Linked DNA regions of Arabidopsis thaliana. The main gene of each other region encodes a partner of the protein of the gene in region 2 in a complex. Each region holds a gene or a part of one and is shown on either strand. Other genes may lie near its edges.

Region 1 (10,231 bases), on a different chromosome or scaffold from region 2:
CATATCCTCAGCGCCTTCTATTGCAACAATTTTCTTGGATCGGCCTCCTTTAGCTTTTGAAGATAAAACAGAGTCCATCATTTTTGTGGTGTCTGAACTTTCGAATGATCCTAGAGCTACAATTCGTTTTGCAAAGTCTTTTGCGCTTTTCTTAGGATTCAGGTATATTTGCAGCACTGTGAGGTAGATATTGCTTGACGGTTTTCCAGATGGTAGATAAGTAACAGACTCATATATACGATCACAGTAAGCCAGCGCCAGATCAGGTGCATGAAGCTATCAGAAAGAAAAAAACAAAGAGTTAAGCCATAAGCAACAACACTCCATAGAATCCACCGATATCTGAGTTCTAAATAGTTTCAGAGTATACTTATCTACACAATGATACAATTATCTAACAATGCATTTGCATATCAAAGTGTTTTTTACCACAACTGGCCAACAATTAGAAGATTATTTGGTGAAATAAATTAATGATATTTGGTTCATGTTAAAGATCGACAAAGCAAGCTCATGTTGATGGGTACCTTATGAACATAGATGGACAAAGCAAGCTCATGTTGGTTCATTTTGCCCAATATAACTGCACGCTCTTCATAGAGAGCATCACGTGGAAGACGCTTCAACAAAGGCTGCGGACTATATCCGGAGATGCTCTCTAACGCAGACAATAGTTTTTTCCTTTCAGGAGGATGATCCTTCTCATCCCATTTCTGCTGCGCACTCTTTGCAGCATACAAGTCAAGCACTTCTGAAAGATAGATTTGTACCTGTAACATCATCCAAATTGTTACTGCCAGCAATATGTAACGTAAACTCACTGAAAATGCTTCCCATAAGTGTGGTTTCCTCACCATCTCGTTTTGGAGATTTCCAGAAACTGCGGTGTCATTCATTGCCATCATAAGTTCTAAATATCTACCCTGCATATTTGGAGCATGCTGCTTCAGATACGAATTGACAAGGTCAGCTGAGATATTTCCAGACAAAAACAAGTCGATGGTTTGAGTTGGACAGCTTTCCAGGACAAGCATAGAATACTCCAAGACAAGCATTGGATCAGTCCTGCAGAGAGGCTGCAGAGAGAAATCCACCAACAGAAAGTTAGCATCTCACAGCTGTTTCTTAGAATACTCATTATTTTCAGTCAGTACCAAAATCAAAGGTGGTTAACAAATTTGTAGTTTTCTATAACCATTTAGAATCTAAAGATAGACAAAGACGAAAGGTTAGCACCGAGAAAACCTGCCTTGAGATATTCGATGATCAACTCAGGACTAAATATCTGTGTAACATCAGTTTGTGACTGGTTTGTTTTAGACTCATCCGCCAGCTGGTTAAGAAGCTTAAGGGCTTCATGGTGCATCGAATTGCTCTTGAACAGTTCTAATAGTGCAGAATAATTTTTACTTTTCATGAGAATCTCCTCACAAATCTTAACGTCACTGTAGTTGACACCCTTTAATAACTCTATAGCAGCTCCAGACTGGCCAGTGTGTAGAAGTGCTTGGAGAAGAGCTGTATCAAGGATTGCTGCCATCTCTCTTGCACCTGAATTAAGAGGGATCATACCACGTCCCTGCAGAAAAAAAGATGTTAAGTCCCCAACAAATTACTATCAAACGTACAAATCAAGGGAAGCTGCTTATATTATCCATGCATCAACTTCCAAGGAATTAGTCAGTCAGTAGCTCCCAAAAGCTTATAAAGTGTTAATATCCAAGAACTAGTCATCAATTAGGTATCGCGGAAGATAAATCATCTGCACCTTGCTGGACTTCTTAGACTTAGATGAATCATTTGCCCCGTAAGTTTTACCAACAGCATCCGAAATGACCTCTTCTGTTCCTTCAGAAGTGGCCTTCTCGATAACAGCCGGCCTCCTCTTCAGCAAGTACTTTATAAGAGCCATCAAAGTGTTGTGACTCATTTTCTTAGATTCAAGGTCTGCATTGTCCTCAGATTCCAAAAAATATCGAGGAGATGAAGACTCCATATCATCTGAAATGCCGGATGAACCTCTTGACAGAGATGCTTCATCACCAGAAATGTCCACCATCTTATCTGGTTGAGGAATAATAGTTGTTTTAGGAAGAATGATGGATGGATACATGGAAAGTACATGCGTGATATCTACTTGAGATGCGAGGAAGTGTTCCATGGCTTCCTCATAGCTCCCGTTCTCAAAAAGATAATGAGCAAATCTGTATCATGATAACGAGACAACAAATATGAACAAAAAGATTCCCATGGAACTGCACTATTAATGTGTAACTAGTAGAAGGAAGAGAGGGCTTCTAGCTTTACACACCTTGTGTGAATTGAACTCTCTTTCGCAGCTCGTAGGCTTGACTCATCAGGGGGGAGTACTTTGCATAGAGCTAAGGCTTCCTCAAAATTTCCCGAAGCTGTTAATTGCACAATCTACAATGAAACTCAACCTTTTCAAAATATTTCAAAAGCAGCTACTGCGAGTAAAATCAAAGTCTTTACAAAGAATACTGAAATAGTGTCATATTCAACCGATATATTAGGTAAAATGAAACACATTTTCATATTCATCCACAAGAAACCATGAGCAGCAGCAAGAAACATCAATATTCTCAGGGCTAAAGTGAATACCTGGGCACCAATAGAGACAGGGAAGAGAACATAAACAGAGTTATCCAAACCAACAATCACAGCATTGTTGCTCTTGACCAGGCGACGAATGTTTTGAAGAACAATTGTCTGTATTAAAGGATATGGACTTCGGAGCAAGCGAACCTATCAAAACAAAGCCAAAAGGAATAAGCACATAACAGGTATCCAGAAACTAGAAGGAAAGCAAAACTACAATATCTCTAGGCAGGAACCTTATATACCTCAACTCGACGAGGTAACAAGGCTATCGCATAAGGGTTTTGAATGACAATAGACGTTGGGGCCTCTGACCAACAGATTCTCTCTGTTTGAAGGAGCTTCCCATTTTGATCAACAAAAACTCCAATGTTCTCCTACATGTACAAGAAGAAACTAATGAAGACAACATTTCAAAACCGAACAAATACATTGAATGGGGGAAAAAGGAAAAGCATAACTACCTTTCCCAAAATAAGTTCACCAGAAGGTAGAGATATCACGAGAGGAGGAGCAACCCTACCAGAAGGAAACACCTCAGAGAGAGTCCCATTAGCAGTATTAAGTATCACATACTCTTTCTTAATGCCTAAACAGATGTTTTCTCCACACCAAGAAATAGACTTGACAGTATCAGGAACTCCATAGTCTCTGACCTCTACAAATCCTCCTCCTCCTAAAAAATCAACAGAAACAACATTTCATCAAAATCCAATCCTCATGATTCAAAGTTGAGTTTCAGAGATTTTTACCATCGTGCTTGAAAACACAGACTCTCTTTTGCCTAGAGAAACACAAGAACCCACGCCGATCATCCCAAGAATAAGCATTAGCACCTTTAGCTTTAGTAATCACAGCAACAGTCTCCAAATTAGGAAGTCCATGAAACGCAATTGACTCAGAGAGAGACAAAAGCAACTCTCTCGAAGCCAAAACCTCCATCGCCACAATCGGTTTCTTAGAGAATCCAGCTACCGTCTTCTCTAGCACGTAAGTCTCTTGATGCAGCTCCGACGGATCGGAGGCAGAAGATTCCGGTGGAGAGTAAATGCGGAGAGAACCGTCATAACATCCAGCGAAGAGCTTGGAGCCGTAGGATTCAACAGCATCGATCCTAGCGGGACAATCTTTGAGAAGCTGAAACGAATCATAAGCGTTGTGAACCATATCTTCGATCGATTTCTGGGTTCTTCTTCTGGGAATCACCACGCATTCATCATGTTCAAAATCCAATTACAACAGAGATGATTGATTTTTTATTTTTTTCACAACGTGCGTTGATAAATTATGAAAAAAAAGGAAAAAATCGTAAAATTTAAAAATTTAAATGAATTAAGGACAAATGGTCCCGGCGGGGCTCGAACCCGCGACCTTCGGCTCATAAGACCAACGCTCTAACCAACTGAGCTACGGGACCTTTTGTTCTCTTTAAGTTCAATATTATATTTAAAGTTTAATATTATATTTAAAGTCTAAGATTTGATCATCACCTCACTAGACGACAATAACTTCTCTGATTTCATCATAACTGTATTTAACTTGAGAAACAATAGAACTAAAAGGATAATCTCATATCTTCAACTAATAACACAAAACTAGTAGTATTACACATGGTAACAATATTCTCTCACACATACAGGATAGTCTCTGCTAATTAAAAACGTTACAAAGTGTTTGGCTCACTAATAAGAAAAAGAGGCAAAGACTATTTGAAACTTTATTGATCATCAAGTTAACCAGCACATTCTATTGGCTTTTCTTCTATGAATGAGAATAACCCTTTTATTCTTCTTCTCTTCTTGCTCTTGTGTGTATATATCGTTCAACTCTCAGCTAGCTGCTGATGCGATTTCTATCGCCGGCTCAGGAACAACATCGGATGGAGAGAAACCGTTTGTTTTCGGATAGTGCTTCCCCTCTAGTCCCCAGTATTTTGCGGTTTTGAGATCGTCTTCATACATTTGTCGTGAGAAATCTTCATGATCATACTCTAGTGTTGCTTCACCTCCGAATTCCTTGGGGAGATTCTCAACGTCAAAATGTGTCGTCATCAGTTCATCACTTGCTTTGTCTTTTGGGTACACAAATTTCACCTTTTCAGCTGTACGTGGGTCCAAGAAGTACTTAGCAGCCTACATGAAAGAATATAGTAGGTATATAGTAAACCTTTTTAAAGAAAAAGAGAAGAGAGACAATTTTGATGGTTTTGTAATAATGACGAATGTTTTTTTTGTGTACCCTGTAGACTGCTTGGAAGAGTCTTGGTGGATTGTAGAGAAAGGCGATACCGAGTCTCTCAGGGTAATAGTTCTGTAGAATGTGAATGATTTCGCGTGTTGTTTTCATAGGAGGATTAACAGCCATAGACCAACCAGTGAAATCAATGAGCCAAGACATTTGTTTTTGTCCCTTGGGAAGATTTATGATTGCATTTTCAAGAAGATACACCAAATGCCTGATATTACCTTCTTGTGATGTTGAGTTCTGTTTCATTTTTATTAAGTGAGATATCATTTTTAAAAAAAACTCAAGAAAAATATTCATAAAGGTGACAATGGGCTTAGTTACCTGCATGGCTGGTCTCATTATAAGCACTACTCTACCTTGTCGATCATGAAAACTAGCTCTTGAAGCTTTTCCGGTCTCACCTTCATGTGCTACTTGATTCTGAAGAGAATCAGAAGAAGATGATTAAAAAAAAAGTAAGAAAAAAATACAAAGTAACAAGAAGATTAAAATGAAGTATATAATAAAGTCAAATATTTACCCAACGGATCTCTTGAGGTTTATAAGTTGATCTCCATTTAAGAGTCTCTTGGATCATTTTCTTGGCTTTTTCCACATCCCAATTACGAGCATCTAGAAATCTCCTCAAGGAAGCATCAGAGCAGAAAACTAAACTATGTCCCGATAATGGTCCTATCGCGGATTTCAATTCTCTAACCTGAAATTTGTACAAGTGTTTTAAATACTTTCCAAAATATATGTTAATGTTTTCATATAGTGTGAAAAAGAAGCAGCTTATTGTACCTTGTTATCTTGTTGAGAATCATCATTGTCGAGTTGGTGAGCATTCCTTCTTCTGAACATGTTTAATTAAACAACAATCTTGAGACAGCTTCGAAGCCTAGAAACGATCAAATCAAATTCAGATTTCTTTCAAGTCCAATTTAAAGCAAATTAAATCAGATCCAAGATTAAGCAAAAGGTTTTAATAATATCGGCTATTAATAGAAAACTGATAAACACAACCAAATCTTACATCTAAAACGGGATCATGAATTCTATTAGTATTTACCACTTGAAAAATCTCTAATGAGGTATACAAATTTTCGTTATAATCCAACTTTGAATCTTCTTAACATCTGATAAACTCTCTTCTAGAAAGCATTAAATCGACTTGTCAAAAGGACATAAATACGGCTTTAAATGATTCAAAGAATTTCTTATATTTGACTTTTTAAAAGCACACAAACAGAGAATTTATCAAAAAAACAAAACAAGACTCTGACATCTCTCAGCCATCAAAATTTTCTTTCTTTTTTGGTCACCATGAAACTTTTTTCTAAATATGATCATGAAACATTGAAACCTAAACATTTCTAATCAAGAGAGACTTGTAAAAACAGAAGGAAGCTAAATCGAAGCAAAACGATCGAGAATCAAACACAAACGAATCAAAATCGAAACGTAAAAGGGAATCTCATTCTTACCTAATAATACGGATCTTTCTTTCTTTCTTTCTTTCTTTCAGTAGATTAAACTGATCACAGAGAGAGAGAGAGAGGCTCGATGGAGTTTGGTCGTCACGCGAGTATCATTCCCACTTCAAAGGGACTTAAAAAGCGAGAAACGTGAAGAAAATGTATTTTAACCAATTTATGTGGCATGTAAAATTTCAATAAAACTTTAAAGCTGGCCCTTTGTTTGTTATTGTGAAAGGCCCCATTGGTTGAAAATAATAAATATGATTTACTTTAATAACATTAATTTTCAGTATTGGCGTTGGACCAAATAACTCAGATCTGAAATGATTTTATGACAAGAGGACAAGATCCGAATTTGGTGAAGTAATAACAAATTTGGTCATTTTCCAAAATTCTAACCTTCTTTCACGTTTAACTAACTCTTATCTGTCTTTGTTTATTGTGTCACGATAGAGAACAGGTAAATTATGATTAGAAAACTTATTGAGTTCACTAATTAGCTTCAAAATAATTAAAAAAATGTAACAGTTTTTTCATACTATATTCATTATGTATTTATGTGCAAACCACTCTTTCATGGTTTTAGGTAGAAGAACAAAAAAACGAAGAAGAAAAGTCCATAAAGGACAGCATCAGCTAATAATAATAATTAAAATGTAACGTTTTACTCGATCTATTGATTTTTATAATATTAAAGATTCGGTTTATCATCGCAATCATGTGCGTATGATTTGGTTTAATCAAATTAAACGGTTCCTGGACTATGTTAGTTAACATATATTTGGTTTTGTATTATATTAACAGCATTGACAATGGACGATTATTAAATGGCATACAATTTAAAATAACACCATGTGACGTTAATCCGACACCAAATCTTTTCTTAATCTGATACTTTCATATCATCTCTTCTACCAAGATATATATTGGTCTTCTATCAAATAGGTATACACTGAGAATAATGTTATTTTATATTGATAGTTTCTCTGTATTTGGAGTCGACGTTTTCTTCATATAATCGAAAGAACATCTTATCAGTTGTTGTTAAATTGTTGTTGTTACTTGTTACCACATAAAAAATATTAGTATTCAAATGTTGCCGACCTCAATCAACTGGAATTTAACAAAACTTTATATGCATAATGTTATCTATATGAATGAAAGGTATTTATAATATTGAATAGTCTGTATCACACAAATTATTATTAGAAATTATTAATACTAGGTTTTAAAAAAAAAAAAAAAAAAAAAAAAACTAGCATTATAGCAAAACGAAAATGTAACACTGGTTTTCACTCTTTCTAAAACCTAAAAACCAAACCAAGTAAACCGGATTGTCCACCTCTATATATAACATATTTAAACCATATATTCAATATGACATTGTTTGTTTAAGAAAGTACATGAATTTTTAAAGTTCCTTTAAAAAATATGAAATTAATTACCTTAACTTTTTTTTTATATTATAAAAATATTCTTTATCAACTAAGAAATGACGAATACATAGAGATGGTGAATGAGTTAGCCTTGATAAATATCATAACCCAACAATGATTAACAGAGTTTTGCAGTCATCTTTCATTAGTATGTTTTTTTATTACTGTTAAGTGAATTATGCTCCTTGCTTATTGCTTGTAGTCCAAATAACACAACTAGTTAGGACTTAGGATGTCAGTCCATGTTTAGACGCCGTTGCTTTAAAAATGATCAATTCCACCTTCCTCCGTGGCAGATGCTAAATTTTACAGAGGCCCTTTTACGGCTGCCCTGGTTTTAGCAATAACATCGGCAGATCATATTCAACACACATAGATTTGAAATATTGTGTTATACAATGACATGATAAAGGTAAAAGAGGATAGAAAGTCGACAGATCTGGATGGATTCGAACCACCAACCTCTCATAATGAGAGCTCTACCATTTTGAGCTTACAGATCTATTAGCACAAACCTTGCCTATTTGGATCAACTCCATGGGCTACCGAGAATCATTTCTAATATGGTCGCTCCAATATTCCACCCCACTTGAAGCATCCTGAAGACGGAAAGCCCACGGTTGCAAGAGTTTAATAAAACCAAATTAGATATAAATCAAACTTGAAATTTATATATAAAATCATCAAATAGAACTAATTTGAAGTAGTAACACCACAGAGTTGTATGATATCAAACAATGATCAATGCATAAACTGAAACTGACTTATTAAATTTGAAAGATCCCATCAGAATGCAAAAGTCTAAAAAAAACTACTGTACGAAATGATACAACAACAGAGTATATATCAATCGAAACTGCAGGCTCGAATCGAGTCCAAACGCCATCATATCAAAAATCAGAGACCTTCGATACTCGTATTACTTCTCCAGGAGCTAGCTACTCTAGCCATAGCTCTTGCTAATGAATGCAGCCGTGATAAATCCAAATCGTAAAACCCATACGAGAGACTAAATACTACAGCGCTATTTTCTAGAATAGGTCAGAATATTCACTACTGATATTTCTTTACGTAATCATAAAACTGGGTACAATTTCTTCCAATGAGAATTCTTACAGAAAAAGTACAAACATCAAACAACAGTAGATAGATAAAGTGGAGAATATAACAAACTGCCATGGAACCGTTCGATTAGACAATTTAAGGTCCTACGAATACTTTGGTAGAAGTACTTTGTGAATAATGTATTATAACAGTCAATTTGAAAATGAGGCAACTATTTCCATGCTCAAAAATAAAGGCCGATTCGAGATTGTAATAAATATTTGGTGTCAGGTTTGTTATATGATGCAAATAAAGAGAATAACGGAGAATTTAAACTCAAAATTGAAGGTACCTTGGTTGGAGGATGTTGGATTAAGATTTGGCCAGCTTGTCTCCAGATCCGCTGATCTTAAGATCCGGATCGAGAATATTTCTGTGGTATTGAGAGAATTTACGTGAATGAATCGAGATCAAAGGTAGTGTGTACGAAGAGCGAGAAGCAAGACACACACGCAAGAGGGGAGAACCCGGGCAAAAAAAATCCCCCGTGCGAACTCCCCTCGACAACACGAAACTTTTTTTTTTTATTAAGGATTTTGGTGACCTGCCATGCAAGCGCACCTGTCATGGCAAAGGTCGGATGACAAAGATGTTTACGCAGAACTATATCGTCCCTATAAACATCTCATACATCCATCAATCAACTTAACTCACATCAATATCACATATCAGCTTCTTCTCTCTTCTTCACCCTCTCATCTCTCTAGCTCCATAGAGAATTGACGGATTCATCATTCATCACCTCATCAAAAGCTCAGTAACGCAGATCTGACGAACCTCGAGGCCGGTTCATGATCTAAGATCAGATCTGGAATCGAAAACAACGAATATATACATAACTACAAAGAATTCAATCGAATTAAACGAATCAATTATCAGATCCAGCTACGAGAAGCCATAATTTACCAGATCTTCAACCGATCTTCGGAGCTCAACCGCGACGATCCGTCTTCTGACGAGGAATCAACCGGAGCCTCTGGATCTCTTCGTATAAGACGCCGATCTGTAGATCGGAAGGAGATCAGTGACGATCTTCATCGGAAAACCTCCGAGAGGACTATATAGAAGAGAGATCTAGAGAAAACGATGAACAAAAATTGAATGAATCAATGAATAAAGCGGGTATGAGAACTTAATTAGGTCGACGCGTTGTTATATATAGAGGGTTGGGAGTAATGGACGGACGAGATTAATTGATTAACGTTTAGATCAACGGTCTAAGATTTATATTGTTGGAGAGATTACGTGTTTAGTGGCGTTTTTAATGTGAGGCGGTTGTTTTACACAAAAGAAATTACAAAGTAAAGGCGTTTTGGGAAAGGGACAGCTAATATGGGTTGTTGTTGGTGTTTTACCGATTCATTG
Region 2 (10,231 bases):
AAAACAAATAACATTTTTTCTGCAGAAATATGTTCCCCTGCTCTATTTTTTTGGCCAATCAAAGACAATTTTGTAAGTTACAACTTTCTTCTGCAGAAATAAATTCACATCCGTATAAAAAAAAAGAAGGAAAATTATGACTTATTAACTCTGTTTTCGGTTTTAGAACAGTCAGAACGACAGCGTATCAAAACCAGTTCACTTCTGTTAACAGTTGGGCCCAGACCCAGTTTAAGACCGAAAGAGGGACTTAATATATTTGGGCCCAGGCCCACTTTTATATCTGTTTCGTTAACACTTAACAGAGCCGTTAAGAAGCGGAGAAAGCAGAACAGAGCAAAGTGGGAGCTTCTTTCTCTTTCTTTTCTCAATTGTGTTCATGTAACAAGAAACGTGATCAAGCAGATAAAATTATAACCAAAACAAAGAACTTTGGTGTTCTTCTGTGCTGTGTTTTCACCTTCCGTCAAGAGTGCGTTTGATCGAGTTTAAAGCTTTTTCTTATGCAGAGCAAATATATGTGTTGCTCAGCTCGTAAAAAAAAAACATTAGTGTAAACGAGGATAATGTTCCGTTCAATCGAAATAACAACAAGACCTACTACAAATAGATTATAGAAAGATCAACAATAACAAAACCTAAAAATAGAGAGAAACATTGCCAAAGGTTCCGAAGTTGCCCGGTCAAAGAGAAAGACACATGATGTTCGACTATTATCCATTGTGGTTGCCGTTGACCACACTTACGTTTTCAAGTCGGTCAAAATCTTGATCTCTTTTCTCTTCCAAACATGTTCATCGACTCTTCTTATTATAGCCTATAGTAGGTGTCGGTGATCCCTTAGACTGGTTCAGGACAAGATCAGAAGAGTAGTCATAATTATTAGAAGAATAGAGGTAAACAAAATAATGATAATAATCATCATTAAACGACTAACCCGAAGATCTTCTTCGTGAGTTTTTGGCTCGACTTTGCTCTTATTATTAGCCATGCTACCGGCACCGGGTGAGAGATGGCGATCATAATTCATTAGTTGTGAAAGGTACAAGAAGATAGTTTTATAGAAAATGCATGTGACACTAGTGAAACTTTAAAAAGTTATTGCAAAGTGATGATACATGCTTTTTTGTATAATAAAGTATGCCTTTGTAATTAGTATAAGTTGATACAGTTGAAGTGGGATCAATTTTTATTTTTCACCTTTTTTGGGGGGGGGGGGGGGATATATTTCTACATATCGAATAACTTATGGTATATTCCTTTTGGTGGTGCTGCTTATGCATATATTGTTGTTATGCATTCTGAGTTGGTTGTGTGTTTTTATGGTACAAAAACACATATATACTCAGACACGTTCTCATGTATGTGTATCAATATATGTAGAGGTTGGGGTGGAGAAGGTCAAGGAGAAAGGATCTTTCAAGGGATATGCGGCGACCAACTTCAATGCTCAGCATGTAGTGAGTACTTTTTACTTTTACCTTTTCCATAGTTCCCATTATCTTTTCCCTTATTCTGCATCACTTGTCAATGGCTCTGTTTCTACAAACACACACAAGATCAAATTACTTTAGTGGATGTCACTAATTTTAACGACACAACAAATGTAAGAGAACAAAATATGAAAGCTAAATAAACCACGATTCAAATGATCAAGTCCATCTCCATTTTCAACAACATAACATATATTCTACAGAACATGTAACATAAAACGAAATACAACTATAGAAACCATACTCTCTAAGTTAAACCTTACACTAACAGTCAAGTTGAAAAAAACATTACACGAAAAAAGATACAACGATTAGGGAATCAAAACCAACTAACGTTTCCTACTATCATAACCAACGAAGTTACTAACAGCTTTAGAGCCTTCAGCGACAGCGTGGCGGCTAAGTTCACCAGGCAGAACCAACCTAACCGCTGCTTCGATCTCCCTCGAAGACAACGTCCTCCGCTTTGTATAATCGCTTAACCTCGCTGCCTCCTGCGCTATCCTCTCGAACATATCTCCCATGAACATGTTCACCACCGTCATCGCCTTCGACGTTATACCTAAATCCGGATGCACTTGCTTCATCACCTTATACACATATCTCCTATACTCATCTCCCGCCAAATCGTCTCTCTTCTTCTTTTTCTTCTTCTTCTTATTCTCCTGCTTCTTCTCAACCTTATCTGTTTTCTTCAAAGTGCCTTCACTCTTGGAAGCGGGAGTTTCCGGTGGCTGAGGTGAAGGTTCATCTCGAACCTCCACCGGAGTCTCCGGCGGCTGAGGTGAACTTTCATCTCGATCATCCACCGGAATCTTAACGGTGGTAACGTTTTCTCCGACGGGAAGTGACCGTTCGTCTGGAACCTCCACTGGAATCTCAACGGTAGTAACGTTTTCTCCGACGGGAATGGAGAAAGTGAGATCTTGCGTCTCTTGATCGTTCGCTGTCTCGGTGATCACACACGGATCTCCTTCTTCCGTGACGGTTACTTTGATTGTCTCTTCCACTACTTTCTTCTTCTTCGTCACGGAAACAACCTTTGGTTTTCTCGGCGCCATATTCTTCGTTAGAAATAACCGAAAATGTTATGTGGTTAAGATTTAAAAAGGGCGTTTTGGGATGGGTCGTAACAGTACTTCTGCGATTGACATGTGGTGCCACGTGTCGTTCGAATACCTTAGCATTGGTGATTAACTGTCTACTACGCGGTGGTTATAAAAACTAAAAAGTAAGAAAAACTTATCCGGTGATTCGTATCTGTTTTAAATAACTAGCCCAAAGCCCGGTGGGCATATAAATGGGCTTAAATGACTAGATCTAAACGGGTCTCAAAAGCCCAATACAACATCCTTAACCGTACTTAATTTTACACAATATAATTTTTGTTTTCCATTATATATTTTTAATGAAATTATATGTGACCAAACGACACCACGATCACCCTTTCACCAGCACCAGTTTAGAAAAGAATTTCGTTCCCATAAACAATGTAATTAGGTTTCATTCCATTTCATTACAAATTTGAAACATGTTTGGACTGGCCGCTAATTATCTGATCGCTAAAAAACTTTTTTTTTCTAGTTCGTATTGTATTTTTCTTTCTATTTCATGGTTTTGTGGTAGCAGAAAAAAAAAAGGATCTCAGATATAAAGAACGTTGGGACTTAGGAGAGAGTAATTAGGGACGAGTAATTATTATCATAACACAGATATCATTATGAATCTAATCTTTAATTTATAAATTATGTCATGTTCGATGTCTGAATCATTCAATGCCAATTTTTTTACTAACAAAAAAAAATCACTACCAAACCAAAGTAATTATGTTTTTAACCCTAAACACCTAAAGATAGATGGTTATCATAATTCACCTACTAGTCTCCCATTCATATCTCTAAGTTCTTAACCCTGCTAAATCTTAGAAACAAAATCATATCCCACCATTTTTACAAAAAAAAAGAAGAAGATCGATATATACAAAATCATGTACAGAACCAGAGTTAAAATCCCATAAGAAAATACGAATTCGGACTAAAGATTTATTAAAATAGGTATATAAAAGTGATCGAAAATTATGTGTAAATCAAGTAAAGAAAGAAGAGTATATCTACAGAATCAAATTTGATTCAGGCACTATTACTCCTTCGTTTCTTACGGACATGGTTTGGTTCGTGAACAAATAAAGTCTCTACCTCTTGGCTCCCGACGTCGGTGGCTTCAAAGAACCGAAGATCTTTGGACAATCTTGTCTTCTTTGTGAGAGAAATCTCACGCGGTCGCTTTCTTGGCGGCGGAGGACACGTCTCCACCTCCGGAATCTTGTGATCACTTGAAGTTGGAGTACACAGAGATTCTAACAACTCTTCTTTCTTCGAGCTATCTTGATGATCTTCTTCTTCTTGGCTTCTGGGTTTCTGCTCTACTGTCTTTTCTTCTTCTAGGGTCTCGAGAAGCTTAGACATGGTCACATGGATGTGAAAGTTTCGTGGGCTTTTACCTTCCAAAGGAAAGAATATTAATTTGAAAGTGAAATTGGAATATAGAAAGTGATATCATATAGGTAGAGAGAGAGAGAGAGAGAAAAAAGAAGGGGATTAAAGAGTTTGTATTTTGCGAAAATGTACATGTATGAATTAATCTTGAATATTCGGATATTCAATGCTTTTTGTGCAACTTAATTGTCTTGGGAATTAGAAGTGAAACTTTTCAACTGCCCCTATGTCCAAACCTATAGAAATACTATGCCGGAGTCAATTAGTTAGTTAGATTCATTTGTGTTTACTGTTTAACGTAATTAATTTGAATATAAGTTTGGTTAATTACCCTTGTTACCTATTAAAACTTGAATGTTAACGGAGAAGCTTATCCAAATTAATGTCTCATGTGTCACATCATTCTTCGATTGTATGTCTAAATACGTACAAATGGTTGGCATAGGATACCATTTCATCAACTTAAAAATAATATTTTCATTTCATAATTGATGTCCACTTTCCGACTCGCCCCTTTGGAATTATTCGCTCCTTCGCAGCCTACTATATAAACCAATCAGATACCGCCATGTCATCCTCCACTGATTTGTGTTCGAGAATTGCTCATGTTACTGTAGTCTTTTCTCCATGAACAAAATTACTTACAACTTACAAGGCTAAATGATGTTTGATAGGTTTAACATTTTAATTACTCTGTGCTCTATATAAGTCCACAATTTGAATAATCAAACTGAAACCTGTATTTTAAGTTTGTCCCCCCATTGAAGTAAGTATATGGTTATGTTGGCATTTAGTGTTTGCATCGAATGGTCGTTTATGTCAATGAAAGACGTCCCGTCGCTGCCATTGAACGTACGTAATAAGCATTAAATCTTAACAGTGTGATGCAAAATTTCTCTTATAGCTCATCATCCTCTTTTTTTTTTCTTAAGAATTTGTTGCATGTGAAGATATTTGGTCACTAGAGTATCGTTTCTATAGATGTTCAAGACAGTAGTAGTTGGAAGGCCGTATTGAAAACAGTCTGAGATGGTAGAAAGAAAATCTTATTTTACATTGATCTAATATATGAAGACTCTTCTGATGATGCATATATATATTTCCAACTTCGTTTGCGCTTTATTCCTACGGATTGTCAAACTTTTAAGAGAAATATGTTGTCCTTTTAGGTTGTTATTGGTCATCAGGGAGATGTAGGGGCCATGACTGTACATTCTTTTTGGCCTATCAAAACTCGATTCTCTTTTTTAACTCATTGGATTCGTGCTGATCATGCTCTTTGAGAATGTATTCTTATAGTCAAATTCAAAACTGTTGTAGTTAACATTTGTTAAACAATTAATGGCTTTAAAGTCATACTTTTGATACCTACTAAAATAAAACGTTATTAATTATGTTGCAAATGGTTAGAAGGTGTAAGATATACAATGCAATTTGGTTAGGATTCCAGAAAAGGCTAAAGAACAGTGACACTACTAGCAAAAGTGAAAAAAAAAACATGGCCATATTTATGTATACAAAGTCTACGCTTAAGAGGAAAATGAAGGCAACAGTAAAATAGTGAAGAAAATGACAATCTTATAACTAAGAAGATAGAGACATATAACCCCATTTAGTAAAGAGGAAAGTTGTAATGAGAATGGAAAAAATAAAACCTAGAGACTCAGTTAATGGGTTGAAATTTCAGGCTAAAATATGTTTCGTCTTCTTGTACGACTACATATAACACACATAACAAAACTAAAACTCGTAAGGTGTATGTGTGAAACTAGTTGTGTATATACATAAGAACAAATGGTGAAAACCAGTAGTTAGGGATAGATCTCTGTCCAAACATATTCTTGATCGATCTTAGATCAATCATGCACTCATAGAGATCTACTTCGTTTGTTTGTTTATTAGACTCATTATCTCTATGAGTGATTGAGTATTATATGAATCCGTTTCTAAACAAAGATGCCGAAGGAGTTGATGTTGGGGTCTGATCGCGCCAGAAAACTTAGGTTTTTCTCTCTGTGTTTGAACCAAAAGTCGTGGTAACTCTGTCTCAAAGAATCTAATAAATCTCTAATTAGACCGTTTGTAAGTAAAAGAAAAAAAGCTTCAAGTTCAATGAAAAATAAAGATAATGATTGGGACTTTTAGGTTTGTTTGTGCTTCTTTAATTATTTTCTAACAACCTTTTATAGAAAAAAAACTCTAGACTAGTGAAAATTCGGAGAGTTTCATGTTGCTGCGACTACACCACGTCTCTATCTAAACAGAAAAGGGTCAGGTAAAGGAGATTAATGTAACAATCGCACACGTGGCACCTTTTTCTTTGTCGCCTTCCAAATCATTAATTAAATTTCCATTTATTTATTTTCTCTGCTGTCATCACCAATAATTTTAATTTAATTTTTACCAAAACCAGAATCAAAATTTTGAACGGAGAAGAAGATTGAATTCAGAAAGGAAGAGGCAGATCTGTTATTCTCTGTTGAAGTCTGATTGATCTGATCGGAGCTATTGCGGAGGAGGGGTTTACTGCAATTGCACGGTGGTAATGGCTGCGGTTCCGCCTGAAAACGGCGTGGACGGAGATGACGAAAGAGAGGAAGAAGAAGAGGACGAGGAGGAGGAAGAAGAAGAAGAAGAAGAAGAGAACGGAGATGAGGCTGAGGAGGAGCCACGTCTCAAATATCAGAGGATGGGTGGCAACGTTCCTGCGTTGCTATCTAACGATGCTGCTTCCTGCATCGCTGTTGCTGCGAGGATGATCGCGCTTGGTACGCACGACGGTACCGTGCGTATCCTCGATTTATTGGGGAATCAGGCAAGTTTTCCATTGATTTTTGGAATTTCGGGTCTATTTCAACATTGTACAAGTTTTAGTGTCAATTTCAACATTTTAGGAGTTTTAGTGTTTTGGTGATACTCCTCTAATGATGATGACCTGAGGTCGATAGATGTTAGGCTTTATTGGTTGGTGGTGGAACAGTTTAGTTAGTTTGCTTTAGCTATAGTTTTGTCAAAGTTCAATTTTTTTTGTTTTGTTTATGATGCTTTGTTCAGGTTAAAGAATTTCGTGCCCACACTGCTCCGGTTAATGACATCAACTTTGACACTGAGGGAGAGTATATCGGAAGCTGTTCAGACGATGGGTCTGTTGTTATAAACAGCCTTTTCACTGATGATGAGAAGATGAAATTTGATTATCATCGCCCCATGAAGGCCATTTCCTTGGATCCAGATTATACGAAAAAGCAATCTAAGAGATTTGTAGCTGGTGGCTTGGCTGGTCACTTGTATATGAACTCCAAGAAGTGGTTCGGTAATAAAGATCAGGTTTGTGAGAATGTGGGTAGATTACGTTTTGGAATAGAATCTACTCACCGTGAATTTGATAAGAGGCTAGTTTTGTAGGTGCTGCATTCTGGGGAAGGTCCAATTCATTCTGTGAAGTGGAGAGGAAGTCTCATCGCCTGGGCTAATGATGTTGGTGTTAAAGTTTATGATACAGCCAAAGATCAGCGTGTTACATTTATTGAAAAACCGCGAGGAAGCCCCAGGCCTGAGGCTTTACTACCCCACTTGGTTTGGCAGGTTCGTATAAATAACTCATTTTGTCAGATTACTTCTTTGATTGTGAATTCATATGTAACAGCGTTGATTTGAAGGGTTATTTTTTATTGTTTCCAGGATGACACTCTCCTTGTGATTGGTTGGGGAACATCAGTTAAAATTGCGTCGATTAAATCAGACCAGCAACAAACTGGAACTTTTAGGCAGATTCAGATGTCTAGTCTAACCCAAGTAGATATTGTGGCATCTTTCCAAACCAGCTATTACATTTCAGGGATTGCTCCCTTTGGTGATTCTCTGGTTATTCTTGCTTATATACCCATTGAAGGAGATGGTGAGAAGGAATTTAGCAGCACCACTACTCTATCGCGTCAGGTACTCTCTTTGTGGTGGTTTTGGTGTTGGGTATGAGATATAGGGACATAAATTTTGGCATGTCTTTTGGGAAGTGGTTGAGTCTGATTTTAAGTAATCCAGGGAAATGCCCAGAGGCCTGAAATACGCATTGTATCATGGAACAATGATGAACTCACAATGGATGCTCTTCCTGTACACGGCTTTGAGCATTACAAGGCGAAAGACTATTCCCTTGCTCATGCTCCTTTCCCAGGTCAGAGATTTGTTGGAAAGTAGTTTGTTTTCTAGGGGAAGGAAAGCATATGTTTGAATACTTACTCGGAAAATTGATGTGAGTGTAGGTAGTAGCTACGCTGGGGGACAGTGGGCAGCTGGTGATGAACCACTGTACTATATTGTTTCGCCAAAGGATGTTGTGATTGCCAAACCCAGGTAGATTTTTGTGGTCACTATTTCTTGTCCATGTTATTCTATTGCTTTGTAAATGAACCTTGCGGTCGCTAACTTATTCTGTTTTTTACTTGTTAGGGATGCTGAAGATCACATAAACTGGCTTTTGCAACATGGATTCCACGAGAAAGCCCTAGCAGCTGTTGAGGCTAGTGAAGGACGAACCGAACTAATTGATAAGGTACTTTTTCGAAAATAGGCGTTGAACCTTTTATTTGTCTTCGCATTATGGTTCATTCTTTCGCTCTTTACTGTTCTCTACTAAAATTGGATGAATGCATAGGAAAGTGTTTTTTTCCGTCATATTTTTTATTTTTCTATATGCAATATTTCATGATCTCGACATTCAAAAAACACACTTTAGTTTGGAATTACCCTTTTCAAAAAAGAAAAAAAAGAATTACCCTTTTCGTTATACCAAAGGATTCTCTGTTCAGATGTTTCATAAGCCTGGAAAATCTTGTTCGAGAAACCAACTGTTAAGTTCTCTTTTCTTTATTGTATAAACGATTTTCAATTCTAACACAAACGAGTTATCTAGGTGGGAGCTGGGTATCTTGATCATTTGATTGTGGAAAGAAAATATGCTGAAGCGGCATCTTTATGCCCCAAATTGTTACGAGGATCTGCTTCAGCCTGGGAGAGGTTTGAACAAATTTGTATCTCTTCTTTGCAAAGTGTTTGTTTTGGTTGTTTTGTACTTTATCTAACATCATGTGTCTCTTTTCAGGTGGGTTTTCCATTTTGCTCAACTACGCCAGCTGCCTGTTCTTGTCCCATATATGCCTACGGATAACCCAAGGCTTAAGGATACTGTGTATGAGGTTTGTATATATCAACAACTTTCTACAGATAGGCTTAAATGAAAATATTTTATTTCATAGAAATTTTAAAATAGATAAGTAAAAAAAAAAACTTTTCTTGTAAACGCAAACATTTGTTTGAAACAGTGGAGGCATAAGATTTATCTTGAAGTTTATTTCTTTACGATGCAGGTTGCTCTAGTTGCACTAGCAACCAATCCCTCATACCACAAGGAGCTTTTGTCAGCGGTTAAATCTTGGCCACGTTCTGTATATTCTGCTTTGACTGTTATCTCAGCAATAGAGCCTCAACTGAACACATCTTCAATGACAGATGCCCTCAAAGAGGTCAGCATTGTCTGTCATGTTAAGCTGAGGTTTATTAACATTTACGGATTCAGAGTTGTTTTATTATTTCATGTATCAGGCGCTGGCAGAGCTGTATGTAATTGATGGACAGTATCAGAAGGCCTTCTCCCTATATGCTGATGTACGTATGTACTAAGAAAGTATTTGTAAAATTATCTTCCCAGATCGTATTCAGGCCTCCTTCCGTTGATAGTCACCTAAAATTTCCTTTTCCTTTTTTATCTCCAGCTTCTCAAACCAGAAGTGTTTGACTTCATTGAGAAATACAGCTTGCATGAGGCGATTCGCGGAAAGGTATACCAGATTTTTTTTTTCACAGTTTGAGACTTCTAACATTATGTAGGCTTTTCCTGGACGATCCACAATTTAATCATCATCATTAATGTTAGCATCTTAGGGGTTCATGAATTTTTTCTTAGATATAGGTACAACTTCTGTGTAATACATAATTCAAACAAATCTGGAGATCCACAGCTGATTCCAATTTAAAGTTATGGGATGGTCTTGTGAGTAGTATTATCTTGGGATTTAGGCATATCTACTGCTATTTTGTTATGGCCTCAGAATTCTGCAATACAGACCGGTGAACTTTGTTTTCCTTATCTAATTGTGTAGGTGGTCCAGTTAATGTTGCTTGATTGCAAGCGTGCCACTGTCTTATTTATCCAAAATAGGGATTTGATTCCTCCATCTGAAGTTG

The links.
Region 1: VPS41 (region 2) and EMB2754 share a complex: the UniProt entries of both Arabidopsis thaliana proteins name them as parts of the homotypic fusion and vacuole protein sorting (HOPS) complex.

Annotation. Positions count from the first base shown.
Region 1 is NC_003075.7:17,272,739-17,282,969, forward strand, and holds the start of EMB2754 (Vacuolar sorting protein 39), read right to left. Parts: upstream 3,889-10,231; 5' UTR 3,787-3,888; coding exon 3,372-3,786; intron 3,296-3,371; coding exon 3,084-3,295; intron 2,997-3,083; coding exon 2,865-2,996; intron 2,767-2,864; coding exon 2,623-2,766; intron 2,425-2,622; coding exon 2,312-2,424; intron 2,205-2,311; coding exon 1,769-2,204; intron 1,580-1,768; coding exon 1,250-1,579; intron 1,077-1,249; coding exon 855-1,076; intron 771-854; coding exon 528-770; intron 277-527; coding exon 1-276. Other genes in the region: AT4G36640 (Sec14p-like phosphatidylinositol transfer family protein), read right to left, coding at 4,449-4,751, 4,858-5,103, 5,188-5,286, 5,387-5,563, 5,650-5,709. UniProt on the Arabidopsis thaliana protein: Essential protein required during embryogenesis. Believed to act in part as a component of the putative HOPS endosomal tethering complex. HOPS is required for the central vacuole formation.
Region 2 is NC_003070.9:2,561,119-2,571,349, forward strand, and holds the start of VPS41 (vacuolar protein sorting 41), read left to right. Parts: upstream 1-6,301; 5' UTR 6,302-6,533; coding exon 6,534-6,803; intron 6,804-7,042; coding exon 7,043-7,315; intron 7,316-7,393; coding exon 7,394-7,573; intron 7,574-7,669; coding exon 7,670-7,927; intron 7,928-8,029; coding exon 8,030-8,162; intron 8,163-8,250; coding exon 8,251-8,341; intron 8,342-8,437; coding exon 8,438-8,540; intron 8,541-8,900; coding exon 8,901-9,004; intron 9,005-9,089; coding exon 9,090-9,183; intron 9,184-9,354; coding exon 9,355-9,510; intron 9,511-9,589; coding exon 9,590-9,652; intron 9,653-9,759; coding exon 9,760-9,825; intron 9,826-10,146; coding exon 10,147-10,231. Other genes in the region: AT1G08165 (uncharacterized protein), read right to left, coding at 795-845, 938-1,030; AT1G08170 (Histone superfamily protein), read right to left, coding at 1,823-2,554; AT1G08180 (cyclin-dependent kinase inhibitor), read right to left, coding at 3,623-3,958. UniProt on the Arabidopsis thaliana protein: Required for vacuolar assembly and vacuolar traffic.